2 linked regions of the Elephas maximus indicus genome follow. The protein of the gene in region 2 interacts with the protein of the main gene of each other region in a biochemical or structural test. Links are inferred from orthologs where the notes say so. Each region holds a gene or a part of one and is shown on either strand. Other genes may lie near its edges.

The links.
Region 1: the proteins of TNFRSF8 (region 2) and TNFSF8 form a complex in vitro, tested with the Homo sapiens proteins (2 studies listed by BioGRID and IntAct). The link is inferred for Elephas maximus indicus from reciprocal best matches to the Homo sapiens genes TNFRSF8 and TNFSF8.

What each region holds. Positions count from the first base shown.
Region 1 is NC_064827.1:64,198,198-64,205,648, reverse strand, and holds the start of TNFSF8 (tumor necrosis factor ligand superfamily member 8), read left to right. Parts: upstream 1-4,382; 5' UTR 4,383-4,637; coding exon 4,638-4,832; intron 4,833-7,451.
Region 2 is NC_064821.1:51,915,257-51,922,997, reverse strand, and holds the start of TNFRSF8 (tumor necrosis factor receptor superfamily member 8), read right to left. Parts: upstream 3,040-7,741; 5' UTR 2,912-3,039; coding exon 2,849-2,911; intron 1-2,848. UniProt on the Homo sapiens protein: Receptor for TNFSF8/CD30L. May play a role in the regulation of cellular growth and transformation of activated lymphoblasts. Regulates gene expression through activation of NF-kappa-B.

The DNA of each region.
Region 1 (7,451 bases), on a different chromosome or scaffold from region 2:
TTTTTTTTTCCTTAAACTTATAATTTTCAAATGGTTTCAGGCATCAGAATTCCCTAGGGCACTTGTTAAAACAGATTGCTAGGCCCCAGCCTGAGCCTCTGATTCAGTAGGTCTGGGGTGGGGTCTGATAATTTGCAGTTCTACCAATTCCCTAGGCGGTGCTGACGCTCCTGGTCCAGGAACCATGCTTTGAGAACTACTAGTAGCATGCTAGCGCTCTCGCAGTCCCTTATAAGGGGAAAAAATGAGTGTCCCTACAACTGGTTCCTCTTCATATCTTCAAAATGGTGTTCCCAGTTGAAGAAATAAGAGACTGTTTGTCCACTGAGCCTCAGGTGCTGCAGCCACACCTCAGCAACTAATTACAGGCTGACAGGAAGCTGGTGGTCATGCTCACAGGGCCATGTGGGAATGCAAAGGCCAGTGGGCAGCCAGGTAAGCCATCTGGAGAAGGATGGGGCAATGGGGGCAGATGAGAAGAGGCAAACATGCCATCACACAATTCCTTTGTATAAACCACTCTTCTAGAATTTTCTCTTTTCATAAACACAAAGTTAAGACAAACATTTGTTGAGGGTTGACCATAGGCCTAACACCAAGTAAAACAGGTATTCAGAAGACTGGGAAAATGCAGACCGCCCTCAGTGGGACTCTGACTCTCACACAGAAGGCAAATTCACACATATTCACACACTTGAGAGCTATAAGTCAAGACAAGTAGATAATTCCATAAGATGTGAGATAATGTGGCATGGAGATAGAATGTTCTGGAAAGAGGATGTTGGTGGACTCAAGAGATCTGGACAGGCTGTCCTGGAGGAGGTGAAGCAGGTGGGCAGAGCTTGGAAGGACAGGAAGGATCTGAAGCTATGGAAGGGTGAGGAAAACATGAGAGGAGGCTTGGACGCAGGGGAAGTATTAGCAGAATAGGGCTGAGAATGTCCACAGGAGTCTTCTAAGCCTGTCTCTATTCCTGCCAGTGTGCACTCCCTCAGGCCATTCTCATTCCTGTGTCCTCGTTTCCGGATTTGAGAAATTAGCAGTTTGGATTACATCAGTTTTCCAATTTTATTCCATCATCAAATGGCCCTAGGCCAGAAGAAGGTGACTGAGCAGGTGGGACCCAGCTCTTCTTGTTGTCCCACCTTTCTTTCAGCCAGAGCAGCTCCACTTTCTTACATTTTTAAACTCTCCATCCAGTTTCACTTCCAGAAAGGATTTGAAAGCCATTCAACGAGATACTCTGTAACGGCTCTTTCCACTCTTACGTTGGGTAACTGAATAGAAGAGAGAAAGAAGCCAGTTAGCACAGGGGATGAGACCTACTAAGATGGTCAGACTAGATTCTGGAAGAGCTTGAAACGCAGAGAGGAGTTTAAACCAGCAAGAGCATGAAATAGGGAACCATCGAAGGTTTATCAGTAGAGCAGTGCACATGGACAGGGATGAAATCTGGCCCAGAAGCTGCTAGAGAAACAAACTGATCTGAAAATCTCAACTCCTCAGAAGGTTCTGAGTAAAAACAAAGGGCGATTTTCCCCCTTGTCAGCTCTTCCCTCCTAGGACATTACACTGTATGCAAAACTGGTAACTGTAAGACAAACATTTTTTTCCACTGCCCTTCTCAGCCCCCTGGGCCTTCAGGAAGACCAGCACTTGAAGCAAAGCATCTTTATTTTTCAACACCCACAGCTTCCATTCAATAATTAGAAGTTTTCCACTTTCATCAAAGAGGCTGAACACAGAGGGCCGAGGAAACGGCCTGTTCTCAGCAGCTCTGGGCAGATTAAAGAGCCCCCACAACTCACTCACTGCCCATGTCCACCAGAGGACTTGGCCTTCTCCCCAAATCAGTCAGTATGCACCCCTCCCCCCAGAAAATACTGGCTTACTCATTCCAATCACCAGACCAAATGAACGTGTACACCCACTTCTTCCAACACCAAGCCCAACTTGGGATCAAGGGGATCTCAACTTCCTCAACTGTCAAATGGGTATGCTGCCTACCATTCTACTTAGCCAAAGAAAACAATTCACTTTTTGATGTCCCTTCCATCTCCAGGGTCCATGACTTTATGGATTCACTGGGAAGAGACATCCAGACCAACTCCTAGAGCCTGACCTAACTCAGGTGATACTCAGAAGTTTAGGATCTATGTGGGGGTGGCAGTGGTAATAATCCAAGCTTGGTTTTGGATACAGAACATTTCTTTTGGCAGGTCTGGGATCGCTATGGCTCTCAGAGATGTATGTAGCCAAAAATTAAGCAGAAAAGGGAGGAGCACTAAAAATTATCTGCTACTTCCCAGGGTGATACCAAATGAAGTCTCCAAACAGGCACATCTGGAAACAGCAACTAGGCAGTGATTCACATTTTAAATAAATGGTGTTTTGAAATAGAGAGTCAACCAGGGAGATTCCTAATCCAGTCATTAGTAACCACAAATATGTGGCACAGCTCTGTTCCCCAGAGAATCTATCTATTGGATCTATCTAAATTCCAGGCTTGGTCCAGAGGACCACTTGAGGTGTTTAACAGGAATGGTCTAACACCATCTGCCAAGTCTATTCCCATTTACAAAGCACTTTTACATCATTATCTCATTTCATCTTCACGGTGACTGTCAACGCTGCTATCCTTAGCCCATTTTACCCATGAGAAAAAGGAGGGGCATAAGTACTTGTTCAAAGACCCAAGGCTAATAAGAAATAGGGCTGAGAAAGGCCAGGTGTCAGGTTTTCAGATTGAATAACACGGCATGGACTTTGGCCAAGCCGGTGAGGATGTGTGCCCAAGCTCCTTCACTGAACAGCATTTGTGACTGTGTAACTGTTTCTGGCAGTTTGTATCCTCTCTGAGCCTCAATTTTTCCCATCTGTAAACGGAAACATGTAATCTGCCTCAGAGGCTGGAGGTGAGGAGGGAGTAAAGCAATATATGTAAAGCTCCTAGCACTATGCTAGAGGTTCATTTGTGGTAGTCACATGCACACACATACACATCACATACATGCACAACACACACACCACAACCACACACCACATACATACCTCACACATACACTACACATACACTACATACATACCAGCCACACATATACCACATACATACACCACACATACACTACATACATACCAGCCACACGTACACCACACACATACACCACATATACACCACATATACACCACACATACACCACATATACACCACACATACACCACATATACACCACTCATACACTACATACATACCAGCCACACGTACACCACACATATACCACATACATACACCACACATACACCACACATACACTACATAATACCAGCCACACGTACACAACACATATAACACATACATACACCACACATACACCACATATATACATCACACATACACCACACACACACCACACACCACACATACACCACATATACACCACACATACACCACATATATACCACACATACACTACATACATACCAGCCACATGTACACCACACATATACCACATACATAAATCACACATACACCACACACATACACCACACACCACACATACACCACATATACACCACACATACACCACATATACACCACACATACACCACACATACACCACATATACACCACACATATACCACATATACACCACACATACACTACATAATACCAGCCACACGTACACCACACATATACCACATACATACACCACATATAACCACATACATACACCACACATACACCACACACGCACCACATATACACCACACGTACACCACATGCATACACCACACAGAATACACACCACATACACACACACACCACATTCCACACCATACCACCTCCCCACTTTCACCCCCACTGCTAATTCCTTCCCCTTTTTATGAGCTTTATGGCAGGCCCCGGTTTATCTACAAGTTTAACAGATTCCAAAACACTCTGCGGGAGTTTTTGTTCAGAAGCAAGGTTTCTAGATTCCTGCTCTGTGACAGTATCTTTTAACCTGTTCCCAAATTTCAAACTGCCAGGAGCTTGCCTCCCTTTGGATAAATCTCCACATCTGAGGGCTTTTCCTTCTCAAATATCTTGAAGTGTTTCCAGTTCTCCCCAGGAGTTAACATTCTCAAACTGAACCCTTCTGAGTCATCCTACTGCAGTCCAAGGAACCTGGCCTTCCTCAGCCCCAGCAAAGAGACCTTCTCTGAGGAGGTCTTCCGAGCAGCAGGCCTCGCTGAGGAGAATGTACAGCTTCTCAAGCAGGAAGGCGTTTTGTGGCTGAGTCTAAGTGAAACAGAAGTTGCTTCGTGCACACACACACCACACACACACACACAGGGAGGGAAACCGTCATTTTCCTACGCGCCCTCTGACATCAGCTACCTTCTCTGTAGCTACAGTTTCTCTGCACTCAAATTAATCCCTGGCGATGAAAAATGAACCTCTCCCCCACCCTTGCTGCTGCCTTTTGCCTTACGCCCCCAGAGAAGAGTTTCTTCACAAGGCAGCCGGTGAAGGTTTTTTTCCAAGTCACATGATCCAGGATGCAGGGGGAGAATCCTTCTTGGAACAGAGATGGGCCAAGAACCGACTCAGATGAGGAGAGATAAGGTGTGATGTGGGGGAGACTATATAAAGAATGGACCCTGGGCTGCAGCAAGCACTCAACAGCGTGGCCCCTTCTCAAGACACAGCCATGCATGTGCCAGCAGGCTCCGTCGCCAGCCACTTGGGAACCACGAGCCGGAGTTACTTCTACTTCATCACAGCCACCCTGGCACTGTGTCTCATCTTTGCTGTGGCAACCATTATGGTTTTGGTAGTTCAGAGAACGGTAAGTGGCCTCCTTTTCCTCGCCTTTCCTTTCTGATTTTTGTTGTTTCCCCCAGAAAGAGCCTTGAGAACAAACTAATGGATTCGCTGAGAGCAAAAACAACATACATGTATCATGGAGAGAAAGGGAGAAAAGAAACAGGAACTTTATTCTCTGAAACAGTCTGGCTTTTTCAGAAAAACATTTGTGGAACCATTATCTCAAAACTTTCTAGGTTCACATGAGCCAAAGGAGTAGAGGGGAGCTATTGGCCTTTAGAGACAGAGACTTGTAATCAAGGAAGGAAGCAATAAGGGAATCTGACATGTTTACACAACTTGTTATCATGTATTCAAGGCCTTGAGACCAGATTTCAGTGTTCCATACACTCAATCTAAATGTTCCTGAGGTTTCTGAGGCCTCATCCATTGCCAAGAGTTTTTAACAAAGAGCTAAGTTTCAGAGGCCAAAGTCTCTCAACGAAGGAGCAGGAAAGCCCAAACTCCTTAAAGTGTTGGGCATTCAACGTTAAAGCCCACAAGGCGAACTGAAAGCTAGTTTCACAAGCCACCGCTCTGATGAGCTTAGAATGTCAGAAGAAACGTGGACCACAGAGGCAGAAAGCAGAAATGTTTTTAACACCTGTTCCCTCAAAGATTCCTCAGAATACTAAAACTGCAAGCAACTGTAAGGTACACGGTGTTCAGGGTCAAGCTGTCTCTGCACACTTACTTTGTTTGAAGTAAATGTTTAGATTTGTATCCAGAAATAGAAGATGAGATGAAGGAGGAAGTTTCTTCATATTTTAGAAAATTGATGTTTAGAGAGAACTCACTAGTATGTATGTTATTGAAAACACTGCACTGGTACCATATATGTTCAGGAACGTTTTAAATGAAGGTTTTGTTTTTAAGAACAGGTAATTTAAGAACTACCTGTTCTTAAAAACAAAACCTTCATTTAAAACGTTCCTGAACTTTTTTTTTAAGAACGTAACACCTCCCCTCCCCCACCTTGCTAAAGTGAAAAATCTTGCCTTCGTTACTTCATAGCACCCAGTTTTCACAGTATTACAATCCCGCAGAATTTGTTTTGTGTTTCTTCACTTGATTCAGGCCAAATGCTTTATAACTTTTCAAACGTTAAAAATAACACGGCTTTAAAGGGCTTTGGATCCATTTCTTGAGTGTCATCAAGCTGAGAAATGTAAATGAAGCTTTGAAGCTCACGTCTCCGTAAAAGTGAAAGAAAACAGAGTTGTTAACATTTTATTTAGGTAGTGAATTTTTTAAAAACCATAATTTAATAGGCTCAGCTACTTCTAAGTATAATACTCCTGAAGATATTCTAGGGCACCTTTGTGTGTGTGTGTGTGTGTGTGTAGCAGCTCTTCAATTTCTTTAATTCTAGTTTAGAGTAAACTAGAGATGTGTCATCTTACAGGAACGGCCGAAGAAAAGAAACTGAAATAGCTTTTAAGACGTTCTTTAGTTAAGCGATGCTGATAGAACTAAAAAGAAAAGGAAGAAGGAAGGGAGGGAGTTAGGGAGGGAGGAAAAAAGGAAGGAATGGAGAAAGAGGGGGAGGAAGAAAGTCAGAGAGAGAGAAAATCAGGATGGTGAGGAGGGTTCAGAGGGGAGGGTAATGATATATAAAGCTAGAGAGAGCTCCAGAATGGTACCCATTAAAATCCATCTTTTAGTTGAATTGATTCCTGCCGACACAAGTGAAGCGAATCTTTCTGCCTCATTTTCTTAGATGTGGAGAATGAGGACCAGAGAGGGGACAAGGTTTGAACTAAGTCTCATCCTGAGAAAGTGATAGACTCAAGACTGCTTGATTGTTCCCTTTGCCAATACAGCCACAGAGCGTCAAGAAACTTTTTTCTCACTCTACTTTTGGGACCGTTTTCTTCTTGTGCATCTGCTTCTTTGTCTTACCTACCCCTCGTGTCAGATATGAAAGGACTCGCTTCACAATCTAATTACATGGTTTCATGTGCTGTGATTTCCTATCCTGTGAAAAACCAGTTAATTGCTTAAAAGCTAAGGCCTGTAATATCAAAAGTAATAGTGATATTAAATGCTAAGTGCTTTACACATATAATTTCCAATAAATTTTTCAGACATTAACTGTTGTAATAACTAAAAAGAGAGTTATTCCCTTGAGCTTGAGCTATCAGGGAAGACTTTGTACAGGTAAAAAGAACATAGGCTGGCTTTAGGACAGGTAGAACTTAGACAAGTGAAAAGGTTCTAACAGGACCTCTGGGAAAGAAATCAATGGGAAAGACATAAAGAACTTACACTCACATTCCCATTATTAAAAATAGAATAGGTTGATGGCCTCATAACACTGTGCATGAGGTTGTCCTAGCTGTGAATGGGGGCAGCAGTGGAAAACAATGAGAATGGTTTTACTGGCCTAAGAAGTCACAATTCTAGATCAAAAGACACATACTCAGGCAACATTTAAAACAATATACACCTATGATAGGTGACGATGATGGAAGGTAGGCTTCCTTGTGATCACAAGTTAGGGAGAGAGAGTTATCCAGGCACATTTAACAAAAATGTCACTGGAGATTGGAGTTTTGGGTTGGCTTGAGAAATGCTTACAATTTCAAACAGGTGAAGAAGT
Region 2 (7,741 bases):
GTGTGTGTCCTCCACGCGCACTGGAGGAAATCTTGGTGTACCCTTAGTACTGCTGGGAAGATGATGGGGGAATTCTCCTAACTGCTGAGTTCACCATTTGGTTCTGGAATGCCGTGGGCTTGCCCCTACGCCCTACTTGTGGGTGAAAACGGTGGAGTGTTGAGGGGAAGCCTCATGGTAATAAATTCTTCTCTCAGAATTTGCAAAAGTCATCCTAGATAACATTGTAAAAGCCACACTTGGGGAGGCTGTGATACAAAGCGTCACAGGCTAAATGTCTTCCTCAGAAGTTTCCATGCCAGCAAGTAGGCATTCTTGCTCTCCGCTGCCAGCCACAAAATGATGCTTTGTACAATCAAAAAGAAGGATTTAAAAGTCAGAGATTCAAGCCCTGGCTTGTGTTTTGCTTTGTTGTTGTTTGAGGGGTTTTATCTGTTTGTTTGTAGTAATAAGCTTCTCAGACTTTTATGGGAAAAACAGAAGTGGAAAAAGGTTTGGATGGTCAGAGGAAGTACTGTGCTGGGCAGGCAGTCCCCTCCCCCACAGATCCCCCCCCCCCCACCGCCACATTCCCAATGCCAAGAAATGACCCAGGAGCTGGGCCCTCAGGAGAGATGCTTACCCCTCTAGTAGGCGGGAAATGCAAATTAAAACAAGAAGGATAGAGTCCTTTTCACAGTCACATTGACAAAAATACAACCTCTGATAAGATCAAACGTTGGTTAGGATGTGGGGAAGTCGTTACCCTCATGTACTGCTGGTGGGAGGGCAAATTGGTTACCCTGGAAGGCAATCCAGCAATATCTTTTCATTTGGATACATATTTACCCTGTAACCTCAATATCCCACTTCTTCACATCTTCCCTGGGAAAGAATCACACACATTCCCAAAAGCTTCCATATAGGGCTGTACATTGCAAGAGCAATAAAAACAGAAGGAAAAAAAAAAAAAAGGAGTACGAACCTTATTACCCATTGAGAAGGAACATAAATAATTAAATTATGGAGCACCCACTTGGTAGAATATTAGACAGCATTTTAAAAGACAAGTGGAGGATCTATAATTATCAGCGTGGAAAATTCTCCAAGACATACTGTAGACATTGTGAAAATCAAATGAAGAAACATAGGTACCATATAGTATTGTATGTGGAAAACCCTATATATTTCTGCTAAAAAAATATAAAGATATGGACATACATTTGTATAGGGTTGCAATGAAACACATCAAATCAATGAGGGCTGTTACTTCTATGAAGGAATTGGGATGAGGAAATGTCAAAAGAACTTAGTTTTATCTGTAGTGTTCATAGTTTTTGCTTTGAGGATATATTCATACATTCTTTGGAGAATATATAGAGGTTTCACTCTGTAGAAAAGAAGCATGCTAGGTTCCACCACCAAACACTAGCAAAGCCTGCCTGGCCCTCTCACTTTTTTGGTTCCCCTTCTCTCCCCAAGATCTTGGCACCCCAAACTCTCACCTCCCCCGGGGTCATGAGCAAAGGGTTTGGGGAAGTAGGAAGGGTGTTCTTTAGTCAGTGTCTCTGCCTTGTAAGGATGTCAGCTGCTCACTCTGTTGAGGGTGTCTCACGTTGCCCGTTGAGATGGAATTGGGGAGGTGAGTGGACCTAGGAGGGAGGTTTGGTGTACCTGCAGTATGGGCCAGGAAGATGATGGGGGAATTCTACCTCTGCTGAGTTCACCATTGTGTCTGGAATGCTTGTTCCCTTTCCTGCCTACATCCTCCTTCCGTCTGCCTGAAGCCCATGGGCCCTCTCTTTCCTGATTTCAGATTTGGAGGAATAGGACTAAGTTCCAAGTGTGGGTCGCTCTCTACCTGTAGGGATTAGAGGGGGAGCTAGACCCTGCTCCCCCCAAGCGGACTGCTATTGCTCTGTCCTTTGCCCCCTGTACCTGTTTTCAGCAGGCATCCACCAACACCCTCTATGTGCTACCCCAGGGTCCACCAGGATATTATGGTGGCCCATGGGCTTCTCTCTGCCCTTCAGACCCTGCACACAGCACTGACAGCAGTAGATGACGTGACCAGGTCCACATTGTGTTAATCTGAGCTCTCCCCCCAATGCCTGGTTTGGTGCTGGCCACCAGTAAGTGCTCAGTTTTCCTATAAAGAAGCCCCAAACTCGGTGGTGGGACTTCCCACCAAAGGAAGTCAGTACTGACCTTTCTAAATGGTCAGATGCCCACCACGTGCTCCAGGACAGGAATCCTCACATGGTTGGTAGGCAGGACTGGGGCCTGGGGGCCCGACTCTGGCTGGTCCAGCATCTTCACCTCTGCTTCTCACCCACACGCAACTCTCCCTCCCTTACTAGACCCTCCCAACCCCCACCCTCCCTCAGGGCGAAGAGCTGGAAGAATCAGGCAGAGGAACAGAGCCCAGGCACCAACCTTTTCTGACCACGGGAGGCCCCACCTGCCTGCCCGAGACCCCACGAGCCTCACCTGATCAGCCCCGGACCCCGACGGGGCCACTCACCGAGCGGGATAAACAGCGTCTGTCTGGTGCCACGCAGTGCCCCCAGCTCAATTAATGTTGAATGAATGATCGCCAGCGCCTGGCGACGGCAGGGAGGAGGAGCCCCCACTAGCCCTTCAGTCAACCACCCACCTGTGAGAACTTGTAGATTCCACCACCCTTCTTGTCACTTGCGCCCCCTCACCCCAGTTGGGCGGGAATGGGGTGAAGAGCTTCCCTGCCCCTTCCCCTGCGCCCCCACGCGTGTTGTCTGGGGCTCAGGGTACAGGGTGAGAAGGAGGCGGCTCTGGATCGCTAGCGCTCCCCCCGCCCCCAACTCCCGCTCCAGCTCCAGTCACCTCTTACCGTCGGGGGGGCTCGGAGAGCCCGGAGGAGCAGCAGTCCCAGCACAGCACGGAAGGCGTGCATCCCGGCGACCGGAGGAGGGCTCCCCAGCCGGGGAGACTGGGAAGCGCCCTAAACCCACGTGCGGTCCCCACAGCTCGTAGACGCGCGCTGTAGACCTCAGGCGCCGGGGGTTGGGAGCTCACCTCCCTCAGCACCGCACGCACATAGTGAATCACTTCAAAAGTGTGTGCTCCTTCCCCAAGGGTTTGGCCCCAACTCTTCCCTCCCCCATCACCCCGAGGCTCGCTGGGTACCTAGAGCGGTTTCCAGGAACATTGCTAATAACAAATACGAAAAATCCGCCAGGGGTTGGCGGTGTGGGGAGCAAAAACGTGCAGAGATGACTGAGGGACAGGCTACCGGGAGCACACTTGTAGGTTGCGCTTTGAATGGCCCGCCCCGGATTTGACGACTGAATGAGTCCCCTGGCACCAGGGAGGAGGCCTGGAGTTTGCTGCCCTGTCCTGGCTGGTCGGAGGAACATAGAAGGCAGCTCCCCGCAGGAGGTGTGGAGCTCAAAGGAGACTAGGAGACCGTGATCTGATCCCAAAGTCTCTACTCCCACCCCATGAAAAGTGAGACCTGAGCAGGTTCCTGCTCCTGACACTCTGATCAAGCCAACCTTCTTCCTCCAACTGTAGGTTCTTTGGAAGAAACAGCTGGAGTCAGGAGACTCACAGAGAAAGCCAACACCATCCACACACCCCCCTATTCGTAAATATTTGCTGTAAAGTGAATCAAGGGATGGATGAAGGATGGATAGATGGATGGATGGATGGATAGGTATGGATGGACTGATAGGTAGGTGGGTGAGTGGGTAGAAAGAAGGAAGGAAGGAAGGAAGGAAGGAAGGAAGGAAGGAAGGAAGGAAGGAAGGAAGGAAGGAAGGAAGGAAGGAAGGAAGGAAGGAAGGAAGGAAGGAAGGAAGGAAGGAAGGAAGGAAGGAAGGAAGGAAGGAAGGAAGGAAAGAAGGAAGGGAGGGAGGGAGGGAGGGAGGGAGGGAGGGAGGGAGGGAGGGAGGGAGGGAGGGAGGGTGGGTGGGTGGATGGGTGGATGGGTGGTTGGACTGACTGTTAAAAACATGGATGGACAGAAGAACAGCGTATGTGGTTATCAATCCACAGATGTTTCTCCGCCCGCTAAGAGTTTTCAGCTCAAAGGAGGAGGCTGGCACTCTGACATAGAAAAAAGAAACAATAAATTGCTGAGGCTGCTTATGTACAACCAAAAACCTCATAGGATTTAGTTCCTTGGTTTGAAGGCTTAGGGTCATGGTTTCCTGGAACATCCCAGTTAATTGGCCTGATAACATGTTTAGTGCCTCTAGTTCATTGCAAGCAGCCATTTAAGGCATGACAATTGGTCTGTATTTGCCTGGAGCCACAGAGGAAGAAGGAGAGTCAGGAATAGGAGGATACGGAATGTGTGGCTAATTGCCTCCATGACTAACTGCCTCTTTGGCCATAAGACCAGAAGAAATGGATGGAACCCAGCTACCATTACTGAACTTTTTGATTAAAAATTCTATAGAAGAATCTTTATCAAAAGGGGAAAATACAGAACAGAATTTTAAATTCTTATGGACTCCAGACTTTCTGGAGCCATGGAGGCTGGATGAACCCCTGAAACTGTTGTGCCGAGATAATCTTTAAACCTGAAACAAAAAACATCCCCTAACATCTTCCTAAACCAAACAATAGTTTAGCTTAACTAGCAAAAAATGTCTGCCTTGAACATTATGCTTTTTTAAGGACTATCTATATGGAATCAAATTGACAACAGCAACTCAAAAGATGAGACAGAAAACTTAGGGGCAGTGGGTTTATATTAATGAGGAAGGAACAACTCAGAAAAGGAGGGTGAGAATAGTTGCACAACCTGAAGAATGTAATCAATGTCTCTGAAATGTACGTATAGAAACTGTTGAATTGGTGTGTGTTTTGCTGTGTATGTTCTTAACAACAACAAAATAAATTTTAAAAAAGAAAGAATACAAGCCTCATTCTAATTAGGTTCTCATTTGTGCGGGGGATGATTTTCTCCGCCAGAGCTTTCTCATCCCAGAGGTTCTCTTTTGACTCCTTTCATTCAGTAAATGTTTATTGAGCAGCCACTGGGTAGGCCCAAGACAATGGTTATTTTGCCACTTTTTTGTTTGTTTTTTTCAGATGAGGAAACCAGGGCTCAGAAACAGGCAGGCAGCCCTAGGTTCTCTAACTAAAGTTGGACAGGTTTTTTCCTATGAGCCCAGAAAGACCCAAGGACCCTCAGGCTTTTACATCTCAGCCTGTCCTGTAGAAGGCCAGGCCCCTATCTTCTGGAAATAACCCCATCTTCACCAGCAATAACCTCCAGCCAGAACGTTCCCAACAAAAATCTCAACTCTTGATCAACCCACACCCAATCTTCCTTGGGCTCCTGGATTCCACTTGGAAAAATTGCCCCTCTTATGCCCCCTCCCAGGAGATCCACTTCTGAGCTCTCCCCTGGATGCCCCAGGCCCAGTGTCGTAGGATGTTTGAGCTGGGACTATGTTAAATAAGTAAGTTATGGGAGTAGCCTGCCTAGGATATTCCCAAAGCCAGGCAGGGGTGGGAAGAACCCAGGATATATGTTTCCCAGTCTAGAGCTTTCCACAATACAAGAGCTGGTGTTTTGAATAAATAAATACTTGTTAAACACACATACAACCAAACAACATCAAAACAGTTTGCATGAGGGAAAATACAAGTAAAAATCAATTACAACTTTTGAAAGTTCAACCTTTCTAGTAATCAACAAAGATGCAAATTAAGGCAAACTTCAGGAACTTTTTAGATTTATTTAATCTTTTTTTTTGCTTTATAAAAATGATTTCTGTAAAATCGAGCCCCACAGTTGCGGTGAAAACGGAGTATTCATTCATACTCTGCTGGTAAATTTTACAGTTCTTTTCAGAAAGCAATAAGACAATTCTTAGAAAAAGCTAAAAAAAAAAAAAAAAAGTTATTTCTGACTTGTTGCCCAGTAATTTCATCTCAGTGAAAAGACACTAAGGAAATAGTTGAATCAGAAAAAGAAAACTATAAACACAGTGCTGTTTCCCAAAACATTACTTATAAGAGCAAAATTTTGGAAACATCCTGAGTGTCACAATAGAGAATGGTTAAATAAATCATGATACATCTATTTAATGGGGTATTACACATCCATTAAAAATTAAAGTTATATAAGCATAGAATTATCCTATGACCCAGAAATTCTCCTCCTAAGTATATACCCAAAAGTACAGATACTTGTATATCAGTGTTCATTAGAACGCTGTTTACAATAGCCCAAAGGTAGAAGTAACCTATACGTCCACCAACAGATGAATGGGTAAATAAAAAGGAGTACATAGGTTCAATGAGCTATTTATTACTCAACCATGAAGAGAAATGGAGTCCTGATGCATGCTGCAACAGGAATGAACCTTGAAAACATGATGCTGAGTGGAATAAGTCAGTCAACAAAGGGACAAATTTGTATATCCCACTTACATGAAATATTTAAAATAGGCAAGTATATAGAGATCAAAGTTGATTAGTGGTTACCAGAGGTGGGCAGGAAGGAGGGGAACAGGTGGACTCACTGCTTAGGGGACACTGGGCTTCTGTTAAGGATGATGAAAATTTTGGAAATGAATAATGGTGATGGTTGAACACTTGATAGACATAATAAATGTCACTGAATTGTACATGGAAGAATGTTGAAATCGCTAATGTTTTGTTTTATATATATATATATATATACCACAAAAAAAAAATTTTTAGAGATGCCGCGGAAACCCATCTCTTCCATGGGCTTCCAGAGGCACCCTCCTAAACCCACCAACCCACCACTCTGTATAGAACCCTGGTGGGCCAGGGACATGGCTCATTACCCAAAAAATATTATTTGCTTAATAGTAGTAATAATAGAGCTACCTTTGAGTGTTTGCTTTGTGCCAAGAGTTCTGAGGCATAGATTCCTTGGATCTTCATGGAAACTCCCTGAAGCAGATCCTATTTTTGTACCCATTTTGCAGGTGAGAAACTGAGGCACACAGACATAAAGCCACTTAGCCAGGTCACAAAAATCCAACGGTGCCCAGGACCCTCCACAGCCTGGCTCAGACCAACTTCTCTAGCTTTGCTTTAGCTTCTTTGCCTTCTCTCTGTTCCAAAACAAAAAACCAGCTGCCATCAAGTTGATTCCAACTCATGGCGACCCCTTGTATGTCAGAGTAGAACTGTGCTCCATAGGGTTTTCAATGGCTGTGATCCTTCAGAAGTAGATGGCTAGGCCTTTCCTCTGGGTAGATTTGAACTGCCAATCTTTCAGTTAGCTGCCGAGCACTTAAATGTTGGCACCACCCAGGGACTCCTACCTCTGCTCTGCTCCAGCCCTCCCCAACATGCCAGGCTTTCTCGCCTCTCCTTGCTTTTGCTCCTGCTGGTCCCTCCGCTTGGAACCCAGTCATACTTCTATTTCTCTTCATCACCTGCCCCCAGGCCACCGCCTCTTGGTTGCTTTCCTGGCACTGCCCTTCCCCCCTCCCCAGCCATCTTTCCAGCTAGAAAGGCGGTTGGTTTCTGCTGTTGTCTGTGCCTCAATTCTAGAACTGAGCTCGGCCTGTCATAATGGTAATGAGTGGCTCATGTGTCCCTCTGCCCCAGGAAACTGTGGGCTTCTGGAGAAGTGGCATGGGGCTGCTGGCCTGCCCATATGCAGGTGATGCGCGTGCTGGTCTGCATGTGCCCTGTCTGTGCATGCCCCCCCAGTGCCGTTCACAGTGCCCGGGCTGCCCCCCCATGCTGAGCACAGTACCTGGGCCATAGCTCTGAACCAATG